Danio rerio: one gene and its partners. The main gene of each other region encodes a partner of the protein of the gene in region 2 in a complex. Links are inferred from orthologs where the notes say so. Each region holds a gene or a part of one and is shown on either strand. Other genes may lie near its edges. The genes, in order: tada3l, taf5, taf6, taf8, taf12, taf4a and taf11.

Region 1 (3,500 bases), on a different chromosome or scaffold from region 2:
TTTCAATGGTATTACATGACCCATAGAGTAACCCTGTTTAAATCTGTTTCTTTTTCTTGTATTATACTGCCGTGTCTAGATGTAGATGCCCTCCTGAAGAAATCTGAGTCTCAGCATGAGTCTCCAGAGGACGGATGCCCCTTCGGTCCGCTCACTCAGCGACTTCTACAAGCTCTTGTTGAGGTCTGCGACTCCTCATTTGCAAATTATATAGTGCAATACTTTCAGCTTTTTGACTGCTTGGTTTATATCAGTGTTTCAGTCATATTCTTTTGTGATGTAGGAGAACATCATATCTCCTATGGAGGATTCCCCCATTCCAGACATTCCAGGGAAGGATGATGGAGCTGGTACGTCACCTCGTAGCCAGGGGAAAGCCTTCAGGTAAAAACAAGTCTTGTCACTTGATTTTCATAATTTTTGTTTTAGAATTTAGTCAACATAAAGTTGACTTTCATAAGATTTATATTAGCTTGTCTATTTTGTTTATTTGAAAAAGTTACTGCTGTTACTGTAAGGCTGCATTAATTAATGGAAAATACAGTACGATTTTTATTATCTTCTTAATATTACACAATCTTTACTTAATACTAAACTATTGTTATGGTAAAATGTGATCCTTGAATAGCATCAGTGCTACAGGATATTTTTGGTTGTTATGTCTTGCGCTGAGTGTCTTGCCACAAGCTTTCAACACCTCCAGAAACCGTCTCTCTAAAAATTTCATTATATTTTTAACAATTTTTTGAAAAGAAGAACACATCTCATGCAAACACAAATGCAGTAGAATATAGGATACATCATAAATATATATATTTATGGCTATATAGAGCCAATTAAGACTGATCAGTCAATTAGTTGTTCAGGTAAGCTTCCAATTAATTGATTTAAATAGTAAATATAGTTATTAAAGAAGTAATAAATAAAATCAGGTGTCATTTTTATTTTTACTTTAACATCTTAGTATTTAGTAGCACTAATGGTGGCTACTAGTCAACGGCTACACAAAGTAAACATATATAACATAGCAAATATTTAGCTGACTTTGCAATATAGAAAGTCTCATTAGTTTAGATCAATTAGTAATCTTTTATTTCTCCGTCTTCGAATTCTGCTGAATTGAGCATTTTGTGTGTTCAGTGTACCTCACACACGCTCTCTGGAGGCTCGTATAAGAGAAGAGCTGGTGTCTCAGGGGCTGCTGGACTCTGATGAGAGGCAAGGGGTCGGAGGAGAGTCTGAAGATGAGGTGCTGGCCGAACTGCAGAAAAGACAAGCTGAACTTAAAGCACTGACCGCACACAACCGCTCACGCAAACTGGAGCTGCTCAAGTGAGTCTTGCTGAAACACATCAGATCAACATCAAGACTGTTATTGGCATGAGATATCTGGTAATCCGGCTCATGGTTTAAGTAAACTTTAAAATCTGCATGAAATGCAAATTAATTGCACTGAGAAATAAAGTAGCCGTATTTCCATGCGAAGATGCAAATTAAATGCATGCAGAAAACTGGAATATCACATAAAAGACATGCGAATAAAGCAGCGTTTCCATCCAACGAGTCAAAGACAACAAAATTGTCACATCCTGATTAAGTTTCGCCAAATATCAACAGTAAAAATTGAATTTGTTTTTGTTTTACAGTGTGCTCAGCCAGCTGGTTTGTTCATTTACACACGTTTTCATCATCACATAATCTCTTATAACAAAATCGCATGACTTTTAATGCGCACAATAGAATTTATTTGGTAGCGTTTCCATCGCAGTTTATGCTAATTTTTTCCTGAATAAAATGTCCTACTCAGTTATTCGCATGTCTTATGCTCATTTTAAAATATTTTGAGCCTAAAAATAGGTGGTTAGAAACATAGCTACAGTGGGTATAAAAAGAATAATCCCCCTTCTAAATAATTAGATTTTGTTGCATTGTAGCCTGAAATTAAGACAGACACAGTTTTTTTTTATCTAGGTGAAATTATTCAGTGCAATGTGTAACATCTATGTAAAAGATATAACACCAACATGTCAGAAAACAATTAACAAGCATAAAAACAAAATCACTCAGTTGTGAAAAGGATCACCTCCTCCTAAAAATTTCTGGTAAACTCAATCAGGTGTAGCTAATCACCTTCTTAACGACACACAATGCCATTTCACTTTCATTGGTGGTCAATTTGATTAGCTCAGCATGAAAATAGCTTTATTGTAGCATTTTAACCCTAGGTAGTGCAACTGAAGCAAACCATCAATTATGGGTGGCAAGACATTGTCAAAAGATTCCTGGGATAAAGTTGTGGCCAGGCTTAAGTCAGGGGATGGATACAAAAAAAATTCAAATGCTTTATCAATGCCTAGAAGCACAGTGAAGTCCATTTTTTTTTTAAAAGTGGCTGGTATTTGGTACAACACAGACCCTTCCTGGATCAGGATGTCGCTCCAAATTGAATGAAAGAGCCAGGAGGAAAATGGTTAGAAAGGCAACCAAGAGGCCTACAACAACTCTGAACAGTTGCAGGAATTTATGTCAAAGAGTGGTCATTGTGTGCATGTGACAACAATATAAACAATTCTCCACAAATGTGGCTTGTATGGAAGGGTTGCACGAAAAAAGCCTCTTCTCAAGAAAAGCAACATACAGACACGACTGAGCTTTGCCAAAACGCAACTAGAAGATTCTGTGGCCATGTGGGAAAAAAAATATGGTCAGATGACACTTAATTTGAACTATTTGGCCTCAACACCAAACGATATGTCTGGCGGAACTCCAATACAGCTCATCATCTAAATAACACCGTCCCTATCGTAAAACATGGAGGTGGAAATATCTTGTTTTGGGGCTGTTTCTCTGCAGCAGGAACTGGAGCACTTGTCAGGATAGAAGGAAAAATGGATGGGGCAAAATACCGACAAATTCTTGAGGAAAATCTGCTGCCCTCTGCCAGAAAGTTATCATTTGGAAGAAGGTTTACCTTCCAACATGACAACAACCCAAAGCACACAGAAAAACTGACCACACACACAGTGGTTAAAGGAGAAAAAGGTGAATGTCCTGGCATGGCCAAGTCAGAGTCCAAACTTAAACCCCATTGAAAATCTTTGGAAGGACTTGAAGACTGCAGTCCACAACAGACACCATCACATTTTAACTGAACTTGAACAGTTCTGCAAAGAGGAGTGGGCTAATATTTCAAAGTCAAAGTTAGCAGAAACGTATTCCAACAGATTAAAGGCTGTAATTAAAGCACAAGGTTATTCAACCAAATACTGAATCAAGGGGTGATTCTTTTTCCAACCCATTGATTTAGTTTTTTATATGTTGATTTTTTTTCAGACATGTTGGTGTTATATCTTTTGGTTGGGTGTTATAAGTTGCACTAAGTAAACACAGGTAGATTAAACAAAAACTCTGTCTGTCTTCATTTCAGGCTACAATGCAACAAAATGTAATTATTTTGAAGGGGGGTGATTCTTTTCTATACCCACTGTACTGTTTGTTTT
Region 2 (3,500 bases):
TCAACAATCCTTCATTGGAACCAAATACATGACAATTTGATCTCCATTATTAAAACTTAAGTGATTTAATTCAACAACATAGGAGAAACTACTAAAATATATATATTTTTCTGTTTAATGTTTTACAATAATCTTAGTAGACACTTTTTTCATTTATATACTTCTCTGACATTCTGTATATAGTTTTTTTCTCTCATATTATTTACAGGTTTCTGTATGCATATATGTATATATTTATATATATATATATATATGTGTGTGTTTGTTTGTGTACATATATAATTTGTAATTTTTTATTTCTGTTTCATATTGTTATCAAGCATGCTATACACATTGAACCAAGTCAATGTTGAGAAATTCTTTTTATTACCATTGTTGGTAACCATGTTTATTAAAAACACAATAAAGTTTAAGTCAAAAAAAAGAAAGAAAGAAAGCAATGGTTCTTGAGGTCAATTAATTAATAAAGAATTAACAATAAAAGAAAACGCTGTAAGATTTGCTGCAAATATAGCAAAAACCCTAAAAATAATAATAATAAATTTTTTTTTTTTGCAGGGACTAAATAATATTTCGCAATATTAGTTTTTAATAGTTTTTAATTATCGTTTTTGCTAAATCTAATAAAGGAATGAGAGTTTTTATGGTGTAAAAGTTTGAAAGATTATATTGTAAGTGAAAATGTGTCTAATGTAAAGCAATAAAAATGCAGACTGAGGTCACGTTTACGCTGTCAGGCCTTGATGCCCAATTCCGATTTGTTGCCTATATCTAATTTTTTGGCCTGTCCGTTTACACGTTCTTTTAATTGTGACTCATATCTGATTCATGTGTTTACACTTGCCGTGCAATTTACGCGCATCCATAAAGGCGGGTTCTAGCATCTGCGTCACACTAGCCACCATGGTAGAAAGTCTTACTTTTAGCTCTGTGAAATATGTGAAGTTCGCCCAACTTTAAAACAATTTTGAGGCGGAAGAGGAGGGGAAAGGGCCGTAATCGCAGCTTGCGCCTGTGGTTTATATATGGTGTCCTCCATTCATTATTTCTATAGGACCTTTTAATCTTTTCTTGAACTGACTCATCTCCCCACAGGGCAAGAATGCAGGTAACTTCTGCCTTCGACCACTGACCACTTTCCTCCTTAATGTTTCCTCATGTCGGCATCTCCACGCATGTTCTTCCTTTCTATGTCATTAAACCGCTGAGAAGTACCACAGTGTCGCAAGTTTAATGACCTATGCATACAAAACGAAATGCCTCAATAAATTCGATCTGCCTGTTTAAATGATAGTCGCATATCCGATTTATATCCGATTTATTTCCACATATGAAGGAAGCCTGAAAGTGATCTCTGAATATCCCAATGCATGTGTTTTTTCATTTTTACATAGTCATAGAACAGATCTGATCTGTCACATATGAGCTAAACATTTGAATTGTCACATTTACCTGGCAGTGTAGACAGTGTCTATGTATCAAAAGATGAGCATAAATCAAAAATGAGAACATGTTTAAAATCAATCTCAAATCTGAATTCTTAAAGTGTTTTCTCTCAAAAACATTAAAAAACTCTGCCAATTTTTGAGTATGTTGCTAAAAAGCGATGCTTAGATTTCTTTTGAAAGTGCATTTGTAGCTTCATAACCTCTGTCTGACAGGATCCCTCTGCCAGAGCTGAAGGACTCGGATAAACTGGACAAAATCATGTACATGAAGGAGAGCACCAAAAGAATCCGCCTCGGCCCGGAAACCCTGCCCTCCATCTGCTTCTACACATTCCTCAACGCCTACCAGGTTGGCGTTATTTTTGTTAATGGTTCCGTTTGGTGTTGTTTGGCATTGCCTGTGCTGATTGTGTGTCATCGCTCAGGGCTTGACAGCAGTAGATTTCACCGATGACTCAAGTCTGATAGCGGGGGGCTTTGCAGACTCTACAGTCCGCGTGTGGAGCGTCACACCCAAAAAACTACGCAAAGTCAAATCTGCTGCAGGTACGTGTCTCTGTTAAAGCTTTAAGTGCCACTGTTTTCCCCAGATACTATCTTGTTATCCTTTGTGTACTGTTTAAATTGATCAACAGTAAAAATGTCAAATTTGACCTCTTCCAAACAGATAAAACCAACATCAGTTTAAGATTGCATGATGTATTTGGTGATTATTTGGTTATAATGAAAGTCAATGGGGCAAAAACAGCCACCAACATAACGAAAGGGTAGTAAATTTGCCCAGAGTTTCTGAAAAATTTCAAAGCATTTTCCCCAAATTAGAAACATGTTGCATTTGCTGACACACAGATAAAGTTGTTGCCAAATAAAGACTCAAAATCACCTCAGAGTGGATGAAAGCATCCCCGACAGCATACAAGGGTCAAGTAGTTTAGAAATATTCTGTAGCTGTTTGGAAATATTAAAGTTCTGCAGAGATTCAAAGATCAAATGGAGTTATTGTCTACCAAAGAAATAAATCAGAACTCTTATGTTGAGGTTTATAATTAGTTTGCACAATGCCAGTCTGTGGTCTTCATTAGCTGACCATAAACTAAATCTACATTTGACCCTCAAACACTGTAGTTTTATCTGAGATCTGTTCCCTTGTGCTGGCAACTTAAGGCCCTGTTTACACTTGTGTGTTTTAGTTTTAAAACGGCGTTTTAGATCAAAAACAATCCGCGTCCACACTAGCGTTTCTGAACAATATATGTGTGTGTGTGTGTGTGTGTGTGTGTGTGTGTGTGTGTGTGTGTGTGTGTGTGTGTGTGTGTGTGTGTGTGTGTGTGTGTGTGTGTGTGTGTGTGTGTGTGTGTGTGTGTGTGTGTGTGTGTGTGTGTGTGTGTGTGTGTGTGTGTGTGTGTGTGTGTGTGTGTGTGTGTGTGTGTGTGTGTGTGTGTGTGTGTGTGTGTGTGTATATATAATGTATATAAAATCTAATGTATGATGTCTTGTTTCACTTCAGTGCCAACCATTCTTTTTTTTTTTTTTTTTAGACCTGAATTTGATTGATAAAGAGTCAGATGATGTTCTAGAGAGGATCATGGATGAGAAGACGTCCAGCGAGTCTAAGATCCTCCATGGTCACAGTGGGCCAGTGTATGGGGTCAGCTTCAGCCCAGACAGGTATCAAGAAAATTAGAGGAACAATTCATGGTTAAATAAGTTAGACAGAACTTAAATCAGAACAGAGTTTGCCACCCCTAAAAATATTCTTGCATGATTTATTATCTTTTTTTTCAGCTGCTGTACACTACCTGACAAAAGTCTTGTTGTCTATCCAAGTTTAAGGAACAACAAATAATAACTTGACTTCTAGTTTATCATTTGGTGTCAGAAGTAGCTTATATGAAAGGAAAAGGCCCCTAGATTACGCTTATTTTACCAAAATAAGATGTGATCATACCTTGATTTTTAATTATGTAATTAGGACAGTAAGGTCTGACTTCACCTAAACAAAAGTCTTGGCACTTAAAAGAAATAATGTACAGTATAGAATATAAAGTCATG
Region 3 (3,105 bases), on a different chromosome or scaffold from region 2:
ATCATACACATCAAACCTAAATTCTCTCCGTCTTGTATTTAGCCACGTCCGACTTTGACAATGTCTCAGAGTGGATTGTCAACATCAGGTGTTTCACGTACACCCAGCATAATTAAAGTACCCAGTTCACTTACCCTCATGTCTACTCGACCTGGAACACCCACTCAGCCATCACCCCCAGCAACAAAGTATATTGTTATGGCAACAAGTGCAGGGGCTGCATCCACACAGCAGGTAAGAGTTTTAAAGTAATTTGTGTTATATGTAATATAACAAAATTTTATTTCACAAAGATTGTTTTCCCACATACAAAAGAAAACCTTTAATTGTACTATTTTTATTTAAAATAAAAATAGTTTTACTTTTTTAAAGAACTTGGGAATAAAACAAAGAAACCTATTTTATATTTAGAAACTGCCTTAATGCATAGTAAAAATCTATGGTTTACCATGGCATAAGTCAAGTTCCCAGTTTTTTGTTTCCAACAATGTAGTTGTAAGAAAAAACATTAGCTGTCTTTAACTTATTTCCATTCAACAACTAGTTTTTACCAATAAAATGGTGCGCATAATGACATCACCACTGAAGAAAGGTAATTATAACATAAGTTGTGGTGTATTGCTACAGAAATTTGACCTTGAGCCTTTCCATAATTCTAATTTAGTTTAAATCACAAATTACTCTTAACCCCTGCCCCACCTGCTTTTCAAAAATCCTATTAAACCAAATCATGGAGGGAGATGATAGCATAGTTTTGTGGGTCTATCGTAATTCATTGGTGCATGTTGTGTCACTGAATTTATATAGACCCATGGTGCACACTATGCACTGCACATTATGAAACCTTGCGACAAGGTAATAAAGCAGAAACCAGTGCTTAAATGTACAATCCAGTTTTTTTTTTTTTTTTTTTTTTTTTTTTTTATGAGGTTCAAATACTGCATTTTTTACATTTAAGCACTAGTTTGTGCTAGATTAGTTTGTCAGAAGGTTTCATATATGTTTCATACATTCATAAATGCACTCACTTTTATTAATTCAGTCATTAATCTGGGGTCACCACTGCAGAATGAACCGCCAACTTATTTAACATATGTTTTACGCAGCAGATGCCCTTCCAGCCGCAGCCTATCTCTGGGAAACACTCGCTGTTAATGCACCAAAAATGTCTCACGACTATAGCACTGTAGTATTGAATTCCTTGAATTCCAAGATCCAAGATGGCACTGTGATCAGACACAGCAGCTGCTCTTGGTCCTAAAGACTGCTTTTATGTATTTTAATGTCATCTGTACATCTTGAAACATTGACAAATTGCCATAAACTCATAAGGAATTTGACAAAGAAATACATATTGCCAAAGCCTTTTGGCTTCACACTGTGAACAGTGGGGTCTGACAAACCACCTGTCGAAATTCTCTCCAAATGCATCGGACACTTTACTTAAACTACATCTATGCTCCAACACTTTATCTATGCAGCCACATAAGACTTTTTATTTCTGCTAATGGAACATTTTATTTCTACTAGTTTAACTGCTGGCCGATAGTTTCTGCAGAAAACGAGTAAATTCTGTTGTAATTGTTGACATAAGCTCTTCTTCTAGGTAATCACTCTCAGCTCCTCTCAGTCTGGATCCCCTGTCACAAGTACAGTCCCCAGCACACCAACAAGTCTACAGCCACTCGTCAAACTGGAGTCTGGAAATCCAGGTGCTGTGGGCAGCTCACGCCCAATCCAGAAATATATTGTGGTGTCTTTGCCTTCATCCTCTTCATCAATGGATAATAAGGGCTCAGGTGTCCTTTCCTCTTCTACCTCACCTATCAGCATGGAGTCTGCAGTCAAGCTGGAATGTTCAGAATCACCAGCCACAAGCACACAATTGCCACATTGACACTCTCACTCTTGCTTACGCCATCAGGGTATAGATCAACAATAAATGTAACTTGATGCTTATCAAAGTGCTTTAAAACAAACATACACACAGATACACAAATACATGTCACAGACACACAATACAGTTGTGGCTGCAAGCACATCGAGGCTGTAACAATGACATCTATACATACAAACATGTTAAGGAACCTTTATTGTGATTTGAGATGAAAGCACAAGACTTGGTTCTGCCTTTGAGCTCCTAGCTTTAGCTGTAGTTTAGCTGTATTTCATGTACATGAGGATATATATGCAGATAACAGGAGAAAGAATGATAAATGTGGATTCTCTGGGTAGGAATTAATGGGTCCACCATTAATACAATGTTTTTTATAGTTGGGCATTTGTTGGGTTTAACAATTTAATTGATTTACAGTTTCAAGTTTATTATTATCTTCTATAATAAAGTTGGTTTTTAAGGTGTGATTTACATTTCTTAATTTGTAATACTTAATGTTATAATGTTTTTTGTAGAAATCAGTGTTTTTTTTTTGTTTTCATGTCAAACGTTTTGTTATATCAGTTCAATTTCTTTTCTCAAGATAAAACTTAAGATATTAAGTATAATAGTACACTGAAGGTATTAGCAATTATTAAGTAATCCATTCTTAAATACAGTTTTGTATAATTGTGAGGAAAAATGTCAATAAAAAGGCATGGAACAACATTCATTCATTCATTTTCTTGTCTGCTTAGTCCCTTTATTAATCCGGGGTCGCGACAGTGGAATGAACCGCCAACTTATCCATCAAGTTTTTACACAGGGGATGCTCTTTCAGCCGCAACCCATCTCTGGGAAACATCCTCACACATAATCACACACAAACTCATACACTATGGACAATTTAGCCTACCCAATTCACCTGTACCGCATGTCTTTGGACTGTGGGGGAAACCGGAGCACCCGATGGAAACCCACGCGAATGCAGGGAGAACATGCAAACTCCAAACAGAAACACCAACTGACCCCAGACTCGAACCAGCGACCATCTGGCTATGAGGCAACAGCACTACCTACTGCGCCACTGCAGTCTGGGTAACAAATGTGGATTCACTAAACCTCAAACATACCTTATACTGTAGTGCTTAAGGTTTCCATTGGGGATCTTTTTGGACATGAAGGTCTCGTGTGAACTATGTTTTTTTTTTTTTTTTTTTTAACAAATG
Region 4 (4,094 bases), on a different chromosome or scaffold from region 2:
AATCAATAAATATAAATTTACTACAGAAATATTGTCATTTGAGATTGCTTCACAATGATACATTTTGATTGGCAAATCTGACCTTTAACACATTAAGCTAAACCTTCTGCCCCATATGCAGAATGCAGATCTACCGGATATACTAAGACACAATAAAGGAGACCAATTTTGCTTCATAATAAATAGGCGTAATGCATTTCTGTGTCCACAGAATGTGCAGCTACAGCTCAAATTAAGCTACAGATCATTTATTTTTTTATGTCATGCTGCAAAAAAAAAAATGACCCAAAAAATGTGCATCTCTTTAAATGCAAATGAGCTATTTCCAGAAGAAAGTGGGTCCTTTACAGTCTTTCTCAGATATTCTCAAGACAAGACATTGTTTTGGTTTTATCATGTCTACTGCACTTATGTGACATTTTAGTTCATCATCATGATGAAAGTTTATTATCCTCATCCGTTTTAAAGCCTTGTTGGTCTGTCTCGCTTTGTCCACTCATTTCAAAGCATTTGTGGTATCAGCCTTTGCTAAGCAACCATCATCTGTGCTCTCCATGGAAAATTTTTATTTATTTATAATTTTTTAACATGAAAAGATTAAAAGATAATTGGGCCTGACTCAGCATGAATGCTGTTTTTCAGCAGATTCCTGCTCCGCAGAACATAAAAACACACAGACACCCATTAACATGTCAAATTATATGAAAAATACATAAAATAATATAATAATTTGGTAGCATTAAGGTCTGAGGTGTTTGTGTCTACTCCCACGATTCAAATATTATAATAAAACTAGGATTAAAACTGATTTACCTAGCTTTTGTACCTCGTTTTCAGGTCAGAACTTAAAAATTAAATCTTCTGTGTCAGTTTACCGTTTTACTAAAGAATCATGTAGAAAGCAAGGATGTGAACATTTTGTTATCTAAAAGACTTGACATTTCTGTAAGATGTTCGACATTTAACTATTAACATTAACAGCTAGTTCGTGTGTGATGGTTCTTTTATTCAAATCATTAAAATAAAAATAAAGATAACATATTTAGAAGTCTTTAGAATAACTTAATAAAAGTTTTATGAGCATGCTACAATACCGTATTGACGATGACTTCAAAAAATGCAAATTTCTACTTTTGCTTTCATTTTTAGGAAATGGCTATGCAACAGTTATTTCTTTGTTTGACTTTTATTTTGGAATTGCACAGAAAACAACAACCTTCCGGTCGCCCTGTTGGAAATGTTGATAGGGTTGCCATTTTCGCCCAATATAAAAACACCAAATACAGTTTTTAGCAAACGCAGAACGCACAATGAGTTTATTTGCGAATGCTAAACATCAGAGGAAAAACCACTAGAGTTCTAAAATGGCAGACTCGGTAATGATGGGGAGCGGATCTTTAAACTCCGGAAGCGTACGTTAAATATCTCCTTTCATTAACGCTAACGTTACTCTTTCCTTCACCCTGCTGGCTCAGCCAAACAATACTAACTTTAGTTTTTTGATCAAAATTAGACTTAAAGGCACTTGTGTAATATATTTTAAAGCAGACACCGTATCGTATGTAAACACGTCTGTATATATATATATATATATATATATATATATATATATATATATATATATATATATATATATATATATATATATATCAATTATATAGTGAGCTGTTGCAGATCAGTGTCGTCAAACAGTGTTTTATATAACTGGTAAACGTCTTGTTAAAGCCGAAAATCACAAACTTTACTGTACTGCAACTGTACAAACTCAATTTTCTCCCAGCAGGAGTTTTCTATGAAACAATGCTAATGTCACTCATAATGACAAGTTATTGTGCATGGAGAATTGGGTTAGCATAATATATTAACAGTAAACTAGATTATTGACAGGAATGGGCAGTTTTACATACCATAATTTAATACCACACTCTTAATGCAATCCACAGTGGAATAGTAATCTTAACCAGATTCTCAGATGCAAAAATGAATGCAATAGATGCATTTTTGCCTCAGTAATTATAAGCACAGCCTTACAAAATCCCTAACTTTTTGTTAAGGATCCATCCATAAAAAATAAAAAAACATTAACAAAGATTGAGGTAAAGGTGGCTTTATATTCACACATTCAGACTTTGTCCTTAATAATATAAGTTCAGAAACATGTTGTTTGCAAATTCTAAATAGGGAAATCCTATTAGCAGCAGTGATAATGTTGTTTTGAAGTCATTACCTAGCTAAAATTTTACCCAATACTGTTATGTTATCGTTGGCCATGGAATTAATTTAAACAGGATTGGTAAAATACGATGTCTTCTATTTGCTGGACAAATGGTAGATTTAGTAGGTAAAGCTTTTAATCTGATTCAGTTTGACTCAATTGAGTTGAATCAAGTAATTCAGATCTTCAAGATTTGGTTCCTTTAAATGACCTAATAAATCCCTGACCAATGTTTTAATATAGGTTGATCCCTTACACTTAATAATCAAAGTAGCATGGAAAACAATATAGCGACTCACAAGTTGTCACTTTATGAATGTGCCATATAAAACCAACTTAACTAAGCAGAAATTAACTTAAAATCACATACGATTCCACAATGTGAGTTATAGTAATTTCCAGTAAAGTAAATCTACCTCAAAACGTTTTGATTTTCATAAAAACTTAATTACATGACTAACTTTTCCATTATTTTTTCAAAGTTTTATATTCATGAGTCATAACTAGGGCCAGACGGAATCTGCAGATGTTTTTTGCTATTTCTGCTGAGATTTTTGGTAAAAATCTGCGGATTTCTGCAGAATTATTTTGGGAGTATCCAGCGGAGTATCAAAACTAAAACCTTAATATATGAAACAAAAAGTAATAAATTACTGAATAAAAACTGAATAAATTTAGATTTACACATTTACTCAAGTAAATAAACAGAATTAATGATGGGCTAAAAATCTGCAGAAATTCTGCGGAAAATCTGCGCGCGCAGATTTCGTGTGGGCCTAGTCATTACCACTAAATACAATTCCTCTTTCTTCAACACTAATCTTAGAATAAACTTTGAAACCTTTTAAAAACTCAGAAGCTTACAGTATAGGAACCATACTAATTGTAAAACATTTCAAATAAATGCAGTTCATTTAGCCCTAACTTAATCTCTTTTATTGCATTTTCAAAGAAATGCCTTGCTGTATTAAATGCAGATATGTTTTAAAACTTCCTGATCTGTAAAACCTTCTTATCATCTTTTATTTTATTATTTCCAGCGCTCGGGGAGCAGTAAGACCTGCACCAGTCCCACAGAGAACTATCAGCTGGCTCGGAGACGCACGCTGCAAGTGGTGGTCAGTGCTCTGCTGACCGAGTGTGGCTTTGATAGCGCTGAGAAAGCTGTTGTGGAGACACTCACTGAGATGATGCAGAGCTGTGAGTCCTTCATTTACTTTAAGCAGCTCATCTTGACAAAATTTAAAAGCTTATGCATACCAATATCACAAATCATCGCGTTTTACTTTTTACGTTTGTGTGTATTTGTATGTAATTTATGGTTCTATGTTCTAATTTAACCACAGTTTGGGAACCAAAATTGAGCTATAGTTGAATAAAAGCTCACAAAACAATACAATTACTTTACACTTTTCTGTACATTAGAATGTGTCTATTTAAAAATATATTAATCTGAGCAAATAAATTATCACTGAAATGTCAATAAGACTAATATTGTATACACTAAAAAAGTTTTTTTTTTTTGTCAGGCATACAGTATTTAGAAAAGTGTAGCTCCCAAAAATTTTAATTATTGTCATTTTAAATCTTTTTACTTGTTCACTATTTATTTAGATTACTAGTTTACTTATTTGTCTGCTAAGTTATAGTTTATTAATAGGTCATAAATGGATAAATACATGTTTTTGTGTGTCTAGTATGACCATTTATTCTTAAATATATTTTAATAAGTAGAGCTCATGTTTGCTCCGGTTTCCCCCCACAGTCCAACGACATGTGCTGTAGGTGAATTGGGTACTTTTTGATTTTTAAGAGTCTTGTTGTCTTTTGATAGATATAACAGAAGTTGGACGTTGCGCAAAGGCAAACTGTGAGCACA
Region 5 (4,176 bases), on a different chromosome or scaffold from region 2:
TAAAATCTTAAAATCATATGTCACAAATATAAATGTACATTCTATTTAAATAAGTGCATATAGATAATATTTGAATTATATTGTTGTAGGAAAGCTGTATGGAGATGCTGAATACGTGGACGAAAGGCATCGACACCGCTTTGAGGTTTGCAATAAAGATCTACTCTAAAATACCGTAAATGTTTTGTTTTCTATTTATTCATGTTAGTAATCTTTGCATTTTTTTCCAGGTGAATCCAGAACTGAAGCACCACTTCGAGGATAGAGGTTTTCGATTTGTGGGTCAGGACCTAGAGGGGGAGCGGATGGAGATCATTGAACTTGAAGGTCAGTGATCGTCTAGTATTTGAAAAAGCGGTCAGTCAGTGCTCATTTCAACTGATTTCTTCTGTCCAAACAGATCACACGTATTTTGTTGGAGTGCAGTACCATCCAGAATTCACTTCTCGCCCGATCAAACCCTCACCACCGTATTTCGGCCTTCTGCTGGCAGCGTCTGGGAAACTGCAAAACTACCTCCAGAAAGGATGCAGGCTCTCACCTCGGTTTGTTGCTTCTTAAACTCATATCATCCTAAATTAATTTAAAGTGGAGACATGCAGTATACTGTGTAAGTTGTCTTATTATCTTGTTTTCCTTTTCTCTCTCAGAGACGCATACAGTGACCGAAGCGGCACTAGTTCACCAGACTCGGAAATCTCTGAATTCAAATTCCCATCGCTTTCTTAAAAAGGAAAAACCCACCTAATCATAAAAACACATGAATGACGTTTTATGATATGAATGTATGAATTTAAATAAATGGATAACAATGCTAATGTGTTGGTTTTAAAATGTGAACAAGTGTGTTGTGTACAGTGGTATAGAAGTGATAATTTATAGTTATTCATTGTACATTTTCATTTAATTTAATTTATTTAATTAATTAAAATTTTAGAAATAATGTGTTTTAATAATTTTAATTTGTATATTAAAGTAATTTTTTATTATACAGAACTAGCTGAAATATTATATATTAAAAGTTTTATGAAATATTTAACATTTATTGTATTTCGAGTATCATAACTAGTATTACTTGGATGGTTTTATCAGGAGTTGACATTAATAACAATGAGCTGTGTTTAAAATGGCTCACTGAACTTGTCTATGCAAATACATATGTAAATTGATTGTTTTTACAAACTAGGGGATTTTTATATATAGAGAGAGAGCACTCTACCACTTATAACTATTACTTTACCAAATAAAATAACAATTTGGAAGAGATCATTTTCCAGAAGGCTTCATCAACTTCTCTGTGCTTTTATTTTGTAAGACTTTTGAGATCTCGCGATACTTCGGTTGAGCTCCGTTCGTCAGAAGAGGCGCTTGTAGAAGGAAAAACAACTTGGAAGGGCTTGTGCATATTTCCAGACCTTAAACGTCGAAGATGGAAAGATAATACAGAATTATTTGCATCAGGTACTGCAACGATTAACAATTAAACGGAATTACATCAAACAAAAGGAAAGCATCGCGAGACGTGTATTGGCACGAATGTTTTTCTCGCTAATGTTAGCTGCTAATATGTTAAGCTACAGTGTGATGATTAAAAACAACAACTATGAAGAAATTCAGACTAAAAACCATACTTATTTGGTAATTTGCATTATATCACATTAATATCAGCATAACACTTACATTATCAATTAGTTTAAGTGAATTATGTCATAACACACTGGCGAAGCAAAAAGGCTAACGCTAGCATATACAGCAAATGACAGTTCGGTGATGTTTATTTCTATCGAGCTAAAAGTTCTTCACTTCGTTGATATAACTTACTTAAAACAGCCGTTTAATATCCTTAATGTATTTATGCATTGATTAAACTCAGTTGAACTCTTAATATCTTTTTTCTGCAGCTGATTTAAAACTCCCACTAGTTCTGAAGAGGCTTGTGACATTTGACATCTCTTGATTAGCATAGTATGACCCAGTATCCAGCACAGACCAGTCGCTCGAATTTCTACACGGTTGTGAAAGCAGAAGCCTCTTCAACACCGCCGCTGTCCAGCAGCATGGCCAACAGCACGGTCGCTCCGGGGAAACTGCCCGGCACCCCCGGACCAGCAGGCAGACTGAGCCCAGAAGGACCTCAGGTGGGTCAGACTGTACAGCTATTATAAGACTGAGGTAACGTTGGTTTTATTTTCGGATATTTGTTCAGTAAGACGGTCCCTATATTGTTTACTACGAATATTCAGTCTGTACTTGCATCAAAGTATGACTACAAAAGAATATTAGCACTATTTAATTGACTGTGAACAATGTTGTACTTTGATAGTCATTGGCTACTAATAAGATTTCTACTATTAGAATTTGCAAAGAATACTTTTCTGAAATTATATTATTGAGAAAGTTTGAATGTGCGAACCAACTTTTACTTTCACACGAACATGCATAAAAACATTCCTTCCTCTAAATGATCATTTATTTCATTTCTGCGGAAACCTAGAGAAGAAAGCAAATACACAGTCGAAGCTCTTCTTTAAAACTTATATTATATTATATTATATTATATTATATATGTAAAAAGAACCTAGATTAAAAAATGAAACAAAACAGTATCTAATTTAAATCTTAACATTTAACTACATTAATATAGTTTAAAATTAATAACAATTTAAATTGAATATAAATTTAATTTTTAAATATAACATTTTTCCCCATTATTAATGTAAAATCATATTGGCTTATTTAACCTTGTCTCAAAGCAAAATAAAAAGTAGCAACTATAATAAACTGTGTAACGTTAAATAAAATGTTTTTAAAAACTATTTGTTTGACTATTTTTGTCAAAACATTTTTGCTTCATTCAATCTATCATGATTTGCACTTCTACTCTTCCGTAGCTTTGGATGTAGCAGTATACCTATCATGATTGAAAATTTTGTGTTGATGATTACTAATCAAGCAAATAATTTTAAAAATATTTAGATTTTTAACAGTTTAGAATAATTTTATTTATTTATATACATATATACTTTTTATTTTGCTTTGAAACATGATTAAATATAGGCCAGTATGGCTTTAAAACTATGGAAAATAATATAAAAATTAGAATTAAATTTAAATTCCATTTTAATTATATTTATATTTAAATTATATTAATGTGTGGTAAATGTTAAGATTCAAATTGTATTTTTTTAGTTAAAATTTTGAGTCTTGGTCCGTTTTATATTAAAATAAAAAATCATATAAAACCAAGCAATCATAATGTTATATGATATTATAATATAACAATATATGTGGGAAAGAAGATCTTTGGTTCTCTGTTAGTTTGGTCTTCACAGAAATAAAACAAGCTGTCATTTACAGGTAAAATGTATATTAAGCATGTTAATTTGTTTATGCACTTAATTTCCCTCATTTAAAAAAAAAAAACCTGTTTTCAACACCTGAAAGTAGATCAAATAACAAAGATCAGACAAATAATCAATATTTGCGATAGACCTATATGTGAAAATAGACTTTTTTAAGCCAATTTAAAAATATATTGACATTTATGTATTTTTATTGTCCTCCCTACAGGTGCTCAGTAAGAAGAAGCTGCAGGACCTTGTTCGAGAAATTGACCCTAATGAGCAACTTGATGAGGATGTGGAAGAAGTACGTGTGTCTTATTATTGATGATGTTCAAAAGTGTTCTCACACATTCATTGTTGACTAGTCAGTTTGTTGCCCAAATTACCATTTTAAACACACTTGAATAATAAATAGTTGAGTTTGTGAGAAACAAATGGGATTTTAATTGCAATGATATATAAAACACTTAGGGAAATAATCAGTTGATGTACAGTTGCAATCAGAATTATTATCCCCCCTGTTGAATTTTGTTTTTCTTTTTTAAATATTTCTCAAATTATGTTTAACAGAGCAAGGACATTTACACAGTATGTCTGATAATATTATTTTCTTTTGGAGAAAGTCTTATTTGTTTTATTTCGGCAAGAGTAAAAGTAGTTTTAATTTTTAAACACCATTTTAAGGTCAAAATTATTAGCCCCTTTAAGCTATATATTTATAGTATACAGAACAACCCATCATTATAGAACAACCTGCCTAATTACTCTAACCTGCCTAGTTAACTTAAATAATCTAGTTAGGCCTTTAAATGTCACTAAGCTCTATAGAAGT
Region 6 (3,951 bases), on a different chromosome or scaffold from region 2:
GTAAAGTACACTGGTATAGATGTTAAGTGTTAAAGTTCTCATCCTTAATTGAAATGATTAGAAATAGTGAAAACAACCAGAAAAACACGACTAATATTTAGTGATGCTTGTTTAACGATGTCGTCTCACAGCAAGAAGGTCACTGGTTCGAGCCTCAGCTGGGTCAGTTGGGATTTCTGTGTGGGATTTGCATGCTTTCCCCATGTTAACGTTGGTATCCTCCAGGTGCTCTGGTTTTCCCTCACAAGTCCAAAGACATGTGGTATAGGTGAATTGGGTTAGCTAAATTGTCAGTAGGGTATAAGTGTGAATGAGAGAGAGTATGAATGTTTCCCAGTGATGGGTTTACAGCTGGAGGGGCATCCGCTGCGTGAAACATGCTGGATAAGTAGGTTTATTCCGCTGTGGCAACCACAGATAAATAAAGTTTTTTATATAAGTTTCATTAATTGCTATTTTAACAAAATGTTATCAAATTATAAAAAAAAAACACCTATAAAAATAAGGGAGGACTTTTGAGAGCAAATGTGTCAGCTCACATTATGTTAGAAAAAAATTAGGTACTATTGGTTCAAGAAAGAGCTTTCTATTGGTTCTTTCTGTCACTTCGTTGACTATTTAATCAGCCATATTTTATTTATAACGTGCTTGCAAAATACAGACTTTTTATCCCGATGCAACGCTGTGCACATTGACAGAAAAAGTGTAGCATAAGTTAAAGTGAAGATTGAGCGTGTGACCAGAAACCCTGTGAACTATGGCTGCAGTAGCACGCGTGCCCTCTATGGCCAGTCACGCTGGCAGAGGTGTGGCGCCTTTTCACGCTTTCAACACAGACGCTTCAAAACACGGGGCCATCTTGGGGGAAGACAGCCCGCTGTGAAGTTCACACAACAGCCTCTACATGCTTTATAACCCGCACATAACAGCTATAAGTGCCTCTAGACACAACCGAGAGCAGCGCCCGTATAATTCAACGGTTGTTTTTCAACTTCACAAGGCCCTTTTCTCGATGACAGACCGACTCTGACCGCGCTCCGCCAGAATCAACTGACGTTTCTCATGTCCCGCCTCCACGCACGGAGACCACCAATGGCGGCTCCACAAAACTTCAGCGTAATGACGTTTCCGCTTTTGCGCGCATGCGCAATGTCATTTTATCCAAAGCTCCTCACTGTTCACATCGAAGATGGCGGCAGGCTTTGACCTGCTATATAAGGATTTCTGTATTAAAAGAGTGGGAAAGAAACTTTTTACCGACACTTCAGGTTGTATTAGATTAGACGTTTCCACATCTTGCCATAATAAGTTTGAGGTAAGCGCCCAGGCAGCCGGAAAATCACCCCGCTGACTCCGGGAAAAGAGGCAATTCAACTAGCTAATGTTGACATTTTGCGAGCTCTTGTACATATGAACATAATGAAAGCAGTCGCTCTTCAAGTGTGTTAGATGATTATTTCTCCCAAGAGCATTGTTACTAATGGACTTGAGGTGACACGGGCGCTTGTCAAATCCTTATTGACATTGTGACACGAGACTCCCATTCACTCACGCTTGTTTCCTTCGAAAAGCAACTGGAGGGAAAAGCCGATGAAAACCCAAACTTCCTGAACTGATGTGCCAGAGGCACAGATGGAAGACAGCTAAGGCGATCCGGTCTTTCTTAATGCTATGGTAACTACTTTGATCGGGACGTCCACAGTGCAAACTTTGAACGGAGGCAATGCAATGGATCCGCACACTGAAAGCGGCACTCCAGTGTCCAGTGGTCCATCATCATCATCGTCAGACGACGCTTCAACTTCTGTCCCGGTTGTTAATAACGGGCCCGGGGTGGCGAAAGGACTCGGAAACGTCACGGTCGCCCCAAGCCCAAACACAGTGATACAGTCTTCTTTCGGGACTCCTCCAGCCGCAGCATCCAGTGCAGGACCCTTAGTGACAGTTGTCAGGCCATCTATGCAAACTGCTGGAGCAGGTTTAACTATTAACGGAAGTAATAATAATACCACCATTTCTGTAGCCAATGTAGCGACCCCGGGAATAACTACTACTTCAACTACTACTACTAGTTCTACTACTACAACGACCCCTCTTTTGTTGAACCAGACTTCTGCACCTGTCACCGCGAGCAAGTCCGAGTCTCCTAAAACTATCATCCAGCCCGCAGGCAGCATGACTGTCGGCCCTGCAGTGGCCAAGGGGGCTGTTTTGCAGGGGGTTGCGAGAACCGCAGCTCCGGCAACTGTTGCAGCAGCATCAGCATCATCTAGCCCGACCATCAGGGCCAGCGCGCCACAGGTGTTAGCGCCCCGACTCCCTCAGAGCAGCCCGGGCCAGAACATCCAGAATATCCAGCTACCTCCAGGTACCCCACGCTCACATTAGCACTTTCCCTGAATGTTGTCTGGAATGACATGATATGTGTATAGAGAAACTTACGAGGAGTGTTTTGGTTTCGTGTGAAGTTTGCTCTCTCCTGAAATACTTGCAAACTGAAAAAAATAAGTGCATAAAACAAAAGTATATCTTCATTAGAGTGTAATTAAAAGTTAGTTTATCTAAAACACACTCCGAACATGCCTAACTCGCTTTCTTCAATAGGAGCTGTCAGACATATTGACAGCTTCAGTCTCCATACATTCTTTGTGACTTTTCTTTCTATTAAGAGAGAAGTAAGTCCTGCAGACTTCCAACAACATGATTATTAGTAATATTTGGGTGAACTGTGTCTTTATAAGTCGATTGAAAGCAAATTGATGTTAAAGTCCTCTCCATGCTTTTTAGTCAAAAACTAACTATATTTTAATTTAAATTATTAATATTTACTCTGTGGCATATTTTTTAATTTGCTCTAATATATATCAATAATTCATAAAATAAGCTACTCTTCATTCATGTACATTTGTATCAATTCATGTACAAAGTCATCTGAGGTCACATCTCAGATTATACAAATTTGAGGGTCAGAGTTCACCAAAGTTCTTTCTTAAATGTGATTCCAGTCTTCAGCATTCATATACAATAATAGATGTAAATCTAACAAGAAGTGTAGTCTGACCATCCATTTGGGTAATTTTAGTCAGCACTGTTCAGTCTTCAGCCTTGTTCTTTTACTTTCTTACAAGTGCCTTGTCTGCACTCACGCTTATGTGTAGGTAATTACTTCACAACCACAAAAAAAGTATATACAGCTCTGGTATTTCACATATATAAGCAATTCCATGCAAATGTCAACCTTGCCATGAAAGAAATAAAGTTTTCACTTAAATAGAGAAACCGTTTTTACACTTTTTTTCAGTGTAAGCAAGTATTTAATAGTAATACTCAAACATGTCTCTGTCAGTGTTTCAAACTATTTTATTTGCTTTACTAAAGTCACACAATTGGCAATTTCACATTTGTCACATCCATAATTGAAAAGTGTCACATACATAACAAAGCCTTTTACTCATAAATGCAAAAATGTCAAATAAAATTAATCATTTTTGTTCTGTAGTGGGCCAACTCTTATTCTTTTGATTAGCATTATTTCTTTTGGGTTGTGCAGTTTAATTCACAGAATTTTTACAAAGTGTGCTGTGTACTGTAAACCTTTTTGGTCACATCCATAATGCATGTTTATTTTCCCATTTAAAATATAGAATATGTTTACAGATTGATATTTTTCTTATCCCATAACTAGGCATGGGCCGGTATAAGTATGACGATATAAAAAAAAAAAAACCTGGATAAAAATTTCACAGTTTCATGTTTTTTTTAAATGTCTTTGTGAAAAACAACAACTTTTTTCCCCATTAAGCACAATATATTTTATTTGACTTCTGCTGGTTTAATAGTTTTTTTTTTTTAAAAAACACAGATTTCTTTACAACTTGAAAAGGCATTTTTGGAGGGTCATTTTCTGCTAAAGATACTATTGCTCTAAGAAATTATAAAAAAATGTGTAAA
Region 7 (3,998 bases), on a different chromosome or scaffold from region 2:
TTTTTAATAAAAATAACCCTGGGTATAATTACTGTTTACACAATATTGTATACATTATATCAGTTCCCCTATAGCGCATGTGTTTGGACTGTGGGGGAAACCGGAGCACCCGGAGGAAACCCACACCAACACGGGGAGAACATGCAAACTCCACACAGAAACACCAACTGACCCAGCCGAGACTCAAACCAGAGACCTTTTTGCTGTGAGGCCACAGTTCGTATGAATTATGCGTATTATTATTGTTATTAATAGTGGCTTGAAAATTAGGTTTCAAGTAGTCAAAATCATTTTAATCAATTTTAAAATAAAAGAAACAATTTGACTTATGTAACCTGACCATGCTAAAATAATCAGTGCAAATATCTATTATTTGCATTGTATATATTAAATTATATTTATTATTAAAATGAAACAAATAAGTAATTAATATTTGATTAAAATAAATAAATAAATGGGCAATATATTCAAACAAACAAATCAGTGAAAAATAAAAAAATACATTTACTCAAGTTAATAAAATAAAAAAGTAAACAAATACTCCTTATGGACATTTTAGGTACATATCGTTTAGTTGAAATGGGATAATTTGAAATAACATCATTAATTAGCCTATTATTATTATTATTATTTAAATATAAGCATAAAATTTTAACTATATGCAAGGGGTACATTTAAATAATTAAATGTGATTTAATCATTTGTGAATATCTATCAAATAAATATATAATTATGAATAATTAAAGGGTTTCTGCAATTAAACTAAAAGCTCGAGTGAATTTTGATGGATTAAATCAGTTATTAGTCCCTGTTTGTTTGTTTGTTTGTTTGTTTGTTTGTTTGTTTGTTTGTTTGTTTGTTTGTTTGTTTGTTTGTTTGTAACTGTAAGCACAGTGTTTATGTTTCAACTATTTATAATGTTTAAAGTGGCTGACAATAATAAATATTCGTATTAATAGGAATTAATCTGCCTTGTTTTTGAACTGTGCAGAGCTGCTTCATTGGGCCTACTACACTTCTGCATTTCAGTACTGCTCCTTATGGTGGTTCTTGAAGAGACATTTTTTCTGAGGTGGTCCTTGATGAAAGAAATCTGAGAACCGCTGCTTTAATGTATAGTATTGTGCGCCACCAAGTGTTTGACGTGGCTGTGCACGCTTGTGCGGACTCTTATTTTGTAGTTTAACCGGATATGCTCGTGTTTACTTTGTCGGTCTGAGGCGCTCGTCAGAGAACACTCGTTGGATTTTTGTGTTTTTAAACATTATTTTCAACGCGGTTGTCGGTCTTAGGTATGTTTTGATTTTTTTTATGAATTCACGGTTTTATTTTGTCTAACAAGTGTTAAATCCGGCCCCAAATACACATAGCATCGTAAGTTACGATGATCGTTAAGTTACCGTTTTCACCTAAAGTAAACTATCATTACATTGAAGATGACCGAGTGTAACGTTAATACAGCTAATGCACATTAGATAGAGCCCTGTTTAATCGCGTTGTTTACGATCAATAACAATGATATATGGGGACTTAATGGATATTTAGAGGTAAAGTAGGTTTTATATCCGCACACTGGTGCATTTAGCAGTCTCTATATTGTTTAGCATGTTACTCTGAATATTGGATCTGAATTAGCATGCAAGTATGACTTGTAAACAACATTAACACTGTCTAATTGACTGTGAACAATGCTGTACTTTGATAGTCATTTGCTGCTAATATCATTTCCCTATTTACAATACTTTTCTGACATTATATTGAGGAGAATGTCTGAATATCAGAATATACAACCAACTTCACCTCTATATGTTTTATAGAAGACACAGACTAAATTATAAACTGTAATGACAGTATTGACATTGTAAGCAACAGTTCACCCTAAAATTACAATTCTGTCATCATTTACTCTTGCTTTACTTGTTTTAAACCTTTATGAGTTTCTTTCTTCTGTTGAACACAAAAGAAGATGTTTTGAAGAATGCTAGAAGCCGGTAACCGCTGACTTCTGTAGGGTTTGTTTTTCCTATTATAAGTCAATGGTTGCCTGTTTACACATTTTTTCCCCTTAAATGTTCCTTAAATCTTTTTCTTAATTTTGTAAACCAACAACAAATTGCTCTCTCTTTTCAAAGATTGTATATTATATAATTAAATATTAAAATCAAATAAATAATCATTTGATTAGAATAATTAATTAAATACATGTGCATTAAAATTATATATGTATATATATATATATATATATATATATATATATATATATATATATAAACATTTTTTAAAAATTGTAATGAATGGTTGCTCTCTTTTTTTGTAATATGACAATTTGTTCTACATAATTGCTTTTTGTAATCTTTGTAATTTTTTTTTACATTCAATAGTATTCATCCAGAGTAATTCTTACAAAAAAAAAAAAATATATATATATATATATATATATATATATATATTGCAATCATGAAACACAAGCAAGGCTTCTTGAGATATTTTAGATATTTGGACTAGAAACAGACACTCTGAGTTAGAACAGTGTTATTGCAGTGCTCAGTTGTAATTGGATCAGGGACTCCCGCTCATGTGTTGCAGATAAACACACTACAGCAGTGTCCATTATTTCCACATTCCCTTTCCCTGATCCATCAGCTGAAATCATGGCAGACCCGGCCCGTGTGAAACCTGAAGCGGGCACATCGGTGGACAGACCCAAACCGGGCGAGGGGTCCAGTGAGGGTCCGGAGGGCAGCAGTAAGAGCTCTGACCCTGCTGCGGGACAGACTGCTGTAAAAGAGGAGGGCAAGACGCTCAGTCAGGTCTCTGCCTCTTCATTCTGCATCCTCAATGAATTCAGTTTCATTCTCATGCAAATAAATCAACCATGCATCACTGTGTTCCTCAGAGGCCTGCTGAAGATGCTGGTGATGAAGAGGAGGAGGGATCTTCATCTCTGCATCCTCCTCCTGCCAAAAAGCTGAAAGTGGAGCCGCACGACAAGAAGAAGGAGAAACGCCACAAAGTGGATGAAGACGAAATCCAGAAGATGCAGTGAGCTGTGTGTGTGTGTGTGTGTGTGTGTGTGTGTTGTGTGTGTGTGTGTGTAGCTGTAAACTGATAATAACACTAATAGACGTGTTTGTGTTTCAGAGTTTTAGTATCATCGTTCTCTGAAGAGCAGCTGAACCGCTATGAGATGTACAGGCGCTCGGCGTTCCCTAAGGCAGCTATTAAAAGAGTGAGTCTTTAAATTAAAAACAGGTCTTAAAAAGAATTCAGAGTTGATCAATCTGTTTAGAGAAAGTATTAAAGTCTTTTACAGCTGGTAAATATTGTGTCTGTTTGGATTATTCAGTGTGTGGCTGTCTGCCTAAGTTTAATTTGTGAATATTGGGCAACATGGTGTTGCAGTGGGTAGCATAATCGCCTCACAGTAAGAAGGTCACTGGTTTGAGTCTTAGCTGGGTCAGTTGGTGTTTCTGTGTGGAGTTTGCATGTTCTCCCCGTGTTGGCGTGGGTTTCCTCCAGGTGCTCCAGTCCAAACACATGCGCTATAGGGGAACTGATTGTAGTGTATGCGTGTGTGTGTGTGTGAATGAGTGTGTATGGATGTTTCCCAGTGATGGGTTGCTGAATACATATGCTGAAAAAGTTGGCGGTTCATTCCGCTGTGGCGAGCCCTGATTAATAAAGGGACAAAGCTGAAAAGAAAATGGCAGCATTGTTATTCCTGCAAGAAGGTCTCTGGTTTGAGTCTCGGCTGGTTCAGTTGGGGCTTCTGTGTGGAGTTTGCATGTTCTCCCGGCATTCGTGTGGGTTTTCTTCAGGTGCTCCGGTTTCCCCCACAGTCCAAACACACGCGCTATAGGGGAATTGGGTGGGCTAAATTGTATGTAATGTGAATGAGTGTGTAAGAGTGTTTCCCAGATATGGGTTGCAGCTGGAAGGGCATCCGCTGCGTAAAACATATGCTGGATAAGTTGTCGGTTCATTCCACTGTGGCGACC

Evidence for each region.
Region 1: taf5 (region 2) and tada3l share a complex: the UniProt entries of both Homo sapiens proteins name them as parts of the TFTC-HAT complex. The link is inferred for Danio rerio from reciprocal best matches to the Homo sapiens genes TAF5 and TADA3.
Region 3: taf5 (region 2) and taf6 share a complex: the UniProt entries of both Homo sapiens proteins name them as parts of the TFIID basal transcription factor complex. The link is inferred for Danio rerio from reciprocal best matches to the Homo sapiens genes TAF5 and TAF6.
Region 4: taf5 (region 2) and taf8 share a complex: the UniProt entries of both Homo sapiens proteins name them as parts of the TFIID basal transcription factor complex. The link is inferred for Danio rerio from reciprocal best matches to the Homo sapiens genes TAF5 and TAF8.
Region 5: taf5 (region 2) and taf12 share a complex: the UniProt entries of both Homo sapiens proteins name them as parts of the TFIID basal transcription factor complex. The link is inferred for Danio rerio from reciprocal best matches to the Homo sapiens genes TAF5 and TAF12.
Region 6: taf5 (region 2) and taf4a share a complex: the UniProt entries of both Homo sapiens proteins name them as parts of the TFIID basal transcription factor complex. The link is inferred for Danio rerio from reciprocal best matches to the Homo sapiens genes TAF5 and TAF4.
Region 7: taf5 (region 2) and taf11 share a complex: the UniProt entries of both Homo sapiens proteins name them as parts of the TFIID basal transcription factor complex. The link is inferred for Danio rerio from reciprocal best matches to the Homo sapiens genes TAF5 and TAF11.

Annotation. Positions count from the first base shown.
Region 1 is NC_133186.1:18,282,646-18,286,145, forward strand, and holds part of tada3l (transcriptional adapter 3), read left to right. Parts: intron 1-79; coding exon 80-183; intron 184-283; coding exon 284-384; intron 385-1,140; coding exon 1,141-1,332; intron 1,333-3,500. UniProt on the Homo sapiens protein: Functions as a component of the PCAF complex. The PCAF complex is capable of efficiently acetylating histones in a nucleosomal context. The PCAF complex could be considered as the human version of the yeast SAGA complex.
Region 2 is NC_133176.1:52,734,687-52,738,186, forward strand, and holds part of taf5 (transcription initiation factor TFIID subunit 5), read left to right. Parts: intron 1-1,661; coding exon 1,662-1,797; intron 1,798-1,873; coding exon 1,874-1,994; intron 1,995-2,986; coding exon 2,987-3,116; intron 3,117-3,500. UniProt on the Homo sapiens protein: The TFIID basal transcription factor complex plays a major role in the initiation of RNA polymerase II (Pol II)-dependent transcription.
Region 3 is NC_133180.1:59,077,300-59,080,404, forward strand, and holds the end of taf6 (transcription initiation factor TFIID subunit 6), read left to right. Parts: intron 1-42; coding exon 43-234; intron 235-1,606; coding exon 1,607-1,897; 3' UTR 1,898-2,605; downstream 2,606-3,105. UniProt on the Homo sapiens protein: The TFIID basal transcription factor complex plays a major role in the initiation of RNA polymerase II (Pol II)-dependent transcription.
Region 4 is NC_133198.1:35,334,925-35,339,018, forward strand, and holds the start of taf8 (transcription initiation factor TFIID subunit 8), read left to right. Parts: upstream 1-1,294; 5' UTR 1,295-1,364; coding exon 1,365-1,412; intron 1,413-3,255; coding exon 3,256-3,415; intron 3,416-4,049; coding exon 4,050-4,094. UniProt on the Homo sapiens protein: The TFIID basal transcription factor complex plays a major role in the initiation of RNA polymerase II (Pol II)-dependent transcription.
Region 5 is NC_133191.1:38,670,043-38,674,218, reverse strand, and holds the start of taf12 (transcription initiation factor TFIID subunit 12), read left to right. Parts: upstream 1-1,376; 5' UTR 1,377-1,461; intron 1,462-1,901; 5' UTR 1,902-1,967; coding exon 1,968-2,138; intron 2,139-3,570; coding exon 3,571-3,648; intron 3,649-4,176. Other genes in the region: ctps1b (CTP synthase 1b), read left to right, coding at 90-145, 231-327, 401-545, 651-729. UniProt on the Homo sapiens protein: The TFIID basal transcription factor complex plays a major role in the initiation of RNA polymerase II (Pol II)-dependent transcription.
Region 6 is NC_133186.1:23,089,786-23,093,736, reverse strand, and holds the start of taf4a (transcription initiation factor TFIID subunit 4), read left to right. Parts: upstream 1-1,151; 5' UTR 1,152-1,671; coding exon 1,672-2,368; intron 2,369-3,951. UniProt on the Homo sapiens protein: The TFIID basal transcription factor complex plays a major role in the initiation of RNA polymerase II (Pol II)-dependent transcription.
Region 7 is NC_133198.1:380,037-384,034, forward strand, and holds the start of taf11 (transcription initiation factor TFIID subunit 11), read left to right. Parts: upstream 1-1,198; 5' UTR 1,199-1,547; intron 1,548-2,586; 5' UTR 2,587-2,651; coding exon 2,652-2,810; intron 2,811-2,896; coding exon 2,897-3,042; intron 3,043-3,141; coding exon 3,142-3,229; intron 3,230-3,998. UniProt on the Homo sapiens protein: The TFIID basal transcription factor complex plays a major role in the initiation of RNA polymerase II (Pol II)-dependent transcription.